Arabidopsis thaliana: one gene and its partner. The protein of the gene in region 1 interacts with the protein of each later gene in a pairwise test. Each region holds a gene or a part of one and is shown on either strand. Other genes may lie near its edges.

What was found.
Region 2: the proteins of AT1G19830 (region 1) and RTL1 interact in a two-hybrid assay, tested with the Arabidopsis thaliana proteins (one large-scale study listed by BioGRID).

Annotation. Positions count from the first base shown.
Region 1 is NC_003070.9:6,850,165-6,853,717, reverse strand, and holds AT1G19830 (SAUR-like auxin-responsive protein family), read right to left. Parts: upstream 1,603-3,553; 5' UTR 1,489-1,602; coding exon 1,135-1,488; 3' UTR 773-1,134; downstream 1-772. UniProt on the Arabidopsis thaliana protein: Provide a mechanistic link between auxin and plasma membrane H(+)-ATPases (PM H(+)-ATPases, e.g.
Region 2 is NC_003070.9:30,312,539-30,316,652, reverse strand, and holds RTL1 (RNAse THREE-like protein 1), read right to left. Parts: upstream 2,132-4,114; 5' UTR 2,045-2,131; coding exon 1,940-2,044; intron 1,756-1,939; coding exon 1,548-1,755; intron 1,420-1,547; coding exon 1,296-1,419; coding exon of another isoform or gene 1,292-1,295; exon of another isoform or gene 1,213-1,291; coding exon 1,053-1,212; 3' UTR 651-1,052; downstream 1-650. Other genes in the region: HA9 (H[+]-ATPase 9), read left to right, coding at 63-244, 330-426; AT1G80640 (Protein kinase superfamily protein), read right to left, coding at 2,415-2,540, 2,651-2,740, 2,820-2,935, 3,026-3,107, 3,212-3,308, 3,411-3,474, 3,552-3,684, 3,780-4,021 and 1 more.

The DNA of each region.
Region 1 (3,553 bases):
ATATTTTTTCTACAGAGAATTAAGTTTCAAGTGACTAATAAATTCTTAATCTCTTTAGGTGACTAAATTCATGATTTATAGTCGGGTGATATTATTTGTAATTATATTGATATTTAGATGACATGTTACATAAGATCGAAGAATTGTTCTGTAGAAATTGTTATAGAATTATCATGATTTGGTTATTCCCTGGTAAGTGGTGAAATTGGAGCAACTCGTGGAATCGTTTTAGAACTTTTATTCCAGACGTTACTACCAATGCCAAATACATTATTTTCATGGCAGAGATGTCTTCTTTTTACCAACTAAGCGCATTTCTGTAGTGAATAAAGGGAAAGGCCAGAAAACGGGCATGAGAATTGTGAATAATAAAATTATATTTTCCTGCTTCTGCATGTGTGTGTTTATGCATAGTGTCAATTTTTTTTGTCATTATCCTGGAATCAGCATTTCGATGCTTTCTTAACTATTTATTTATTAGTTCAACAGTTTTAACTTTTAACGGCTAAAAAACTGCCGATTCCAAAAGAAGGCATCCTTCGCCTTGGGATTCCTTGTTTGGACGATGTCGCACAGTAACGTACTTTTTTAAAAACTTCAAAAAGTAAAACAAGTTTTGCGAGCAAACTAAATCGATATCATACTATATGCAACGCGAATTCCACTCGTGTGAATGAAATGAGTTTCCATTTCTTCAAATGGAAACAAATATAGTTTTTTTGGATCAAATTATACATGCTTTTAACTTGGTTAAACTATGTACAGATTTACATTATATTAAACTCCTTGAATGGAGTATATCATATATGCAAGAATATATATGATAGAAAATGGACAAAACCAAATTATAAGAAGAAAAATAGCATTCATCACTGATATTATATAATAGTCCCTCAATGGGTTGTACAGATAATCACACCACCACAACGAGAAAAATTATCAGAGTATTTGCTTATTTTCCTCCCTACAAATCTAAGATAATTAATATAACCAAACTGGTTTTATAGATCACTCTTAGAGGCATCTCTAGAGTTAGTCTCGTTCTAATAGAAACACTTACCCCCATTGTACCCCAAAATCACCTAAAATTTTAAAGGCTACCTAAAACAGATCTTTATCCTCAAGAATAAAACACTAAATATATGTTGGCTGAAGCATAGAGGTGATGAGAGATTTGAAAGCTACTTCCTCACAAGGGATAGTGAGACCCATGTTGTGATCGAAGCCAAACTCTTCCTCAGCTTGTTGTAGAAGAAGCTGAAACTCGGGTCGGGTCAAAAACGAAATGGGTAAGACGTACCTGACCCGATTCCCTCCTACGTAGACCACGAAGTGACCTTTGGGAACATCCAGAGGAAGAGAGTCTCCATCATGTTCATGTGTATCGTTATACTCACTGCTCTGTTTCTTTCCCAAACTTGAACACCTCTTCAAGATTTGCTTTATCATAGTCGTTTGTGTCAGCTTGCTCCGGTTTATAATCGCCATTCCCTTGGGAAATGGGGTTTTCTTTGTTATCTTCTATGTTTTTGTTGTGGTTTGCTAGAGGAGTGAGGAGATAGTGAAGAAGGGTATGCTGAGTTATGGTTTTGGGGTATTTATGGATGGTTACACTAAATATATAGAGTTTTATAAATAAATTTATATACTACTTTATAATATTAGAGTCTTGTGATGGGTCTAACCGTCTAAGATTCACTAGACAGATCCTAGTTTTGGACCGGGTCAATGTTTTTTTGTTTAAGGTTTGGAAGAAAAAATAGTTTATTTTGGTGTTGTTTATTACATAAGAGTCTATATAAGACCAATTAGGTGGAGGTTTTAAACCTGAAATCAGAATTTTGTTCGTTAATAATCCAAAATTGTTAGACCATTTTTATTTGTATGCGTGGTTGGAGCCACTAAATTCTCCATCTTAGGGCTGGTTCTTGTAACATCAATATATAAAATGTATATACAACTATTTTTAGCTAGTGTACATATATCCTTTTACAAATACTATTGTACATCTATGCAATGTATACAGGAAGAGGTGATTTTGAGGCGTGGGGTAAAGTAAGATGTGTTTGTCTCGATATATGAAGAATGTGTCTGCTACAGAATAAATATTTGTTGTACCTTGTTAAAACAAATTTTGTCAATAAGTTGTATATATGTTTAAATTATGTAGATATACAATACAAATTATTTGTCGAGGTTTTTTGTTTTGTTTGATAACATCTATTGTCCAAGTCAAATATTATTTTGGTTGAAGATTAGAGAAAATGTTGTAGAGAAACGACTCTAGGTCTTTATAAAAAAACAACAACTCTTGGTTCATCAGGTTTAGCTTGAAAAAGATGGCAAATATAAAATGTTATAAAACTCCGATGAATGCAAATTAATGGCACACATTAGTCGCAATAGAGGCTGTATCTAACTTTCAACATGGATTCAAAGTTGTAAACTTTTCTAACTACCTTTCGGGCCACACAAAAAACTCTAATTAAATATACTTGATTATATATTGTCGGAATGTATTTGCATGCCTTACTTCATTACAATTTCAAAATAACAAAACTAGCGTTTTAAAAAAAAAACTAGAAACAGGAATATAATGTGATGTACTATTTTTTTTTTTTCCAGTTTTGAACGTAACTAATTATGCAAACGCTAATGCTAGCCGTGACGTACTTGTTTGTAATTTCAGTTTAAACATCGAAAAGCTAAGAGCCTGAGACTATATCTATCGATGATTAGTAACCAAAAAGGGTAGCTTATCGATGCGTTGGTGAAAAGGACAATATAATGCAAACGTGAAGGACTAAGGACAGTACCATAGCCAATTAAGGCTTCCTCAATTAATATTCCTGCCATTGCAATTATGTATGCACATGCACGACCTAAAACCCATCCCATTCATATTCTATTTTTCTATTTATTGTTTTGCTGATTGGGGTATTCATGTTAAAATCCAAAATTGTTTTCAAAATTAATAGTCGCCGTATGAATTTTGCTTTAGACCAAAAGACGATGACCAATAAACTATAGATGATCAATTTATTTAGCTAAAGAAAAGGAGTTTAATTGTTGTGTTTAGTGGTTCATACTTTAATACTTTATACATTGTGCATATATATTACATGAATGTCATGTTAGCTGGTCTGCAACGGCGCATCGCTATGTCTTTTGGTTTGTGCAAACGAGCTGTGACTAAACTTTATTATTGGGCTTTATTGTAGCCCAATATGAATTACGCGGCAAAAGATGGATTGTGAACTTGTCAAGATATAACTACGAAAATTTAACCTAAATAATTTGACAAATACCAAAGTCGACGATGGTGAAAAGAGGTCGGAGCGGCGGCGTTTCAAATCGGAGATTTCAAAACCTAGTTCTCCAGTCATCTGAGAAGGGATCAACGGCAGAGGAAATAGTCAATGAGCTCCGTTCAAAGGACCGTGAATGGGCTCGATTGAGTCGTCATGTTCTGCTACTTAACGTCAACCAAACCCTTCAATCCAGAAATGTAAGCGACAAAGACGAAGAAGAAAGCAATGCAAGATCAAAATCA
Region 2 (4,114 bases), about 23 Mb from region 1:
ACTGATGAGAACAAGAACACAGTAGTATAATCCTTTTTCCTAACCTTTGTTCCTCTGTTCAGACCGCTTTCACGTCAAAGAAAGACTACGGAAAGGGAGAGAGAGAAGCACAATGGGCACAAGCGCAACGTACACTTCACGGATTGCAGCCAGCTCAAACCTCAGATATGTTCAATGACAAGAGCACTTACAGAGAGCTTTCAGAGATAGCTGATCAAGCCAAGAGACGAGCTGAAGTTGCAAGGCAACGCTCAAGTAACTGATTATTCCATACCATTAGGTTCCTCAGAAAATGGGCTTACAAACATTTCTTGTCTTGTAAATTTCAGGTTAAGGGAACGTCACACCTTGAAAGGTCACGTGGAATCAGTAGTGAAGCAGAAGGGACTAGACATTGAGGCTATCCAGCAACACTATACCCTGTGATTTCAGAAACAAGTGTTTCTCAGTTTAGTTTTAGAACCCCACAAGAGTATTGAATAAATAACCACTTCCATAATTAGAGAATGCTGCAAAAAGAAAATTGTTTCTTTTGTTAGCAGTGGATGTGGCTTCTTCTTTTTTTATATTTTTGAGATATTCTTGTTTTTTCCTTTTTTACAAGAGTAATAAGATCTTACAATTACTTAGAATTCTTGAGTAAGTTTCTTCTAGTCTCTGTCCGCGCAAGAGAGAATGCAACAAAACCAAAAAAAAAAAGAATGCTCAAATCTTAGTTGCAAATGAGAAAAATCAGTGTTTCAAATCTCACTGAACTGAATTCCCTCCTTCAGTCTAACCAGACAAAGTCTCCAAAGCTTTCTCTAACTTGGATGACTTGAGCTCTTCTATTCCATAAACATAAAGATAAAGATAAAGGCTCCTTACTAAGGAGAAATATAATGGCACAAAGTTTGAAAGAAAAGTTCTGATACAGATCAAAACTGTTACAACCCATAGAGCTATAATGAATTAAAAGATAGGTATAATATGGTTCAAGCTTCCCTCGTTAGAACTAACTATAGATGGCTTTACTAAACTCTCCAGCTACTTCATATCGACTAAATGATGATTTACTGATGCGGCTTTGTCTTCACATGCTCAAGATACCAAAGCGCTCCTTCTGCTGCATGCTCAGCAGCAGCTTTCTTTTTGCGTCTGGGATCCCCAAAACACTCCAAAACAGTTTTCCCTGAAGAATCTCTAATCTCAACCATAACTTTGTATGTAAATCTGAACCAAAAAACCAAGTTGATGCAAAAAAGATTGCGACTCAAAAAATAAAAGCAAGTGCAGGTTAGAAGATGTTTACTTACAATCTCAAATGGCAAGGTCCATCAACATTGCAGCATTCATAAACAGGAGGTCTCCAACGCTTGGAAGCACACATTTCGTGTAACACCGATTTAGCTGAGCCTCTCCTAGTCTTAGATTCATCATCTGGAACACAAATTTCAGAACAAAATGACCAAAATTCTATCTTCTATACCAAAAATTGCAATCTCTGTTGGTTTCCGAACAAGTTTACATCATAATTAGCAAAAGAGGTGAAGAAAAAATGAATGAACCTTTAGATATGGGTTTGGTGGTGGTGGTGTGTTCTTCATCTGGTTTAGGAGCAAGCTTCTTCTCTAGTGAAATGCTTCTTGTGCTGTTAGGATCAATTTGAATGTTAGAGAAGGAAGAAATGGCATTGTCTTCTTCTTCAAACTTGAAGTCAGTCTTCTCTTGGAATCTCTGCATTCCCACATTATGATGATCTTGCGCCATTGGTTTCTAACAATTGACAGAAGCAAAGTTGAGATATTTATTACTATTAACCCATGATATAGCCAAATCACAGAAGAAGAATCATCTACAAATAGAAAACGCAGAGATTGTTCTCTGTTTCAAACCCAGATGATCAATTTTTTTGTTAGCGAGAAAGAAGAGAATATGGTTGGAGTGAATGAATATTTACCATAGAGGGAATAGAAGAAGGGTCGAGAGGAGGAATATCTTTGAGACTGATGATGATCGATCTTGACGGTTTTTTGGTTATCCGCTTCGTTTCCTGATCCTCCATCTTTCATATTACTACTCCTTGTCTAATTCCCAGATATCTTTCTTTGGGAATCGAGAAATTGAAAATTTTATCGATCATCGACAAAACGGATAAGGTTCATTAATTAATTCATTTCCCCACAACAACAAACTCTGTTATAAAAAGTCAACGTTTTTATTTATTTATATGTTAAAGCTTTTAAACCTTTAACTTTTACTAACCAAACTCTACTAACTTGTCTCTCGGTTCCATTTAAGCAAAACTTCCGAATTTTTTGTAGCAGTGATTAAACATACAACAATAAATTCTCCGGAAGAACCAACATAAGAGACAAATTCATAAACGCATTGATCTGTTACAAGAAAAAAAAAAAGAAAGGGGAAATGTTTTTTTATAAAATCCGCAATGATCCACCGAGTTCTACTGGTAGAAGAGGGATGAGTGAGTGCAAGACATCGGTTATAAGTGGTCTGTAACTTGGCTCCGGCTGTACACACAACACCGCCACCGCAGCTACCTGTCCAAAGAAAATATAACACAAAGTTCAAAGAGGAATCTTTTTCCTTCTATATTTGGCTAATGTGTTTTTCGTAAAATCTGTGTGAGATTTTGTTGAAGCTTTTTTACCTGATATAGATGCTTCAAATCCATGGTTCCTTTGATTGCAGGATCCAATATGTTTGGTAGATTAGCTCTATCACTCAGCTTAGGTACTGCCTGATGATCAACAAAGATCACAAGTCAGAGGATTTCCTGCTAAACGAAGCCACTATCTCGTGAAAGTTTTATTATGTACCCAAGTAACGATGGATTCTGGTTCAGAAGACGGTTTCTCCACTGATTTCTTCCCGAGGAGAAGTTCGAGCAGGATCACTCCAAATGAGTAGACATCATTCTTGTCTGTAACTTTCCCTGAAAGATGATTACAGAATGGTCGAAATTTGAGCATCTCGTTTGGCATATATGTCAAGATCGAACCCCGAAAAAAGATTAACTCCTTACCATCAAGAAGATCCTCAGAAGCCTTGTGTATCAGGTTTTTATTCTGCGTGGTCAAAACCGTGGCAAACCCAAAATCGGATATCTAAAGAGAAGCAAATGTGGCAACAGATCCTTAAGACTCATATTGTATGGAGAATACAATAAGTCTAAGAAGAATTTTCTACATTATATCATTTTCTCTTTTACCTTTGCATTGAAATCGGAGTCCAGAAGGATGCTAGATGATTTCAAATCTCTGTGAACTACAGGAGGATGGCAATGCTCGTGAAGATACTCTAATCCTCTTTATGAAAAAAGAATACTTTGTAAGCATACAAATATATGTTCTTGGAGATCACATGGAACTACTAAATGTTTGAAAGTATTATCAATGAATGGACTTTACCTCGCTATATCAACCGCTATCTTCATCCTGAGCTGCCAAGTTAAACCTGAACCTTGACTAGGCCCTTAGAGCATTCAAAAGCACAACAAAATCAAAATCAGATGACAAAAGATGGAACAAACATGGATCATATCCCCTTACCATGTAACTGACTCTCCAAAGATCCATTCTGCATCAACTCATACACAATACAACTCGTTTGCCGATATACGCAAAACCCCAATAAGGAAACTATGTTCTGATGCCTGATCTTAGCCAACCAATCTACTTCAGTCTGCATTAGAAAATCAACAAGAGAAAGCAAAAAACCGAGTTATGGTTTATCGAATGAGATGGTGCGATTCTGTATAATCATCTTAGGGGTCAAACCTCAAACTGTTTTTCAATGTCTGTCTCCCCACCGCCATCAAGTTTCTTCACAGTGACTGAGGATTTTTCATCGAGACAAGCTCTGTAAAGGCATCCACGACCACCTCGGCTCAACACATTACTATCACTAAACTTGTTTGTTGCAGATTCCAGCAATTGATATTCATACACAGGGATGGTTCCTTTCCTCACAGAATCAATCTTGTGTACAGTCGGTTTCGTGGTTACACTCTTCACCGAATCTTCAGATAACCAAAGCACCAAAATAAGCCATAACAAAACCAAGGAAATTACAAAAATATAAAGAGATAGAATTGAATACCGGATTTGCGTTT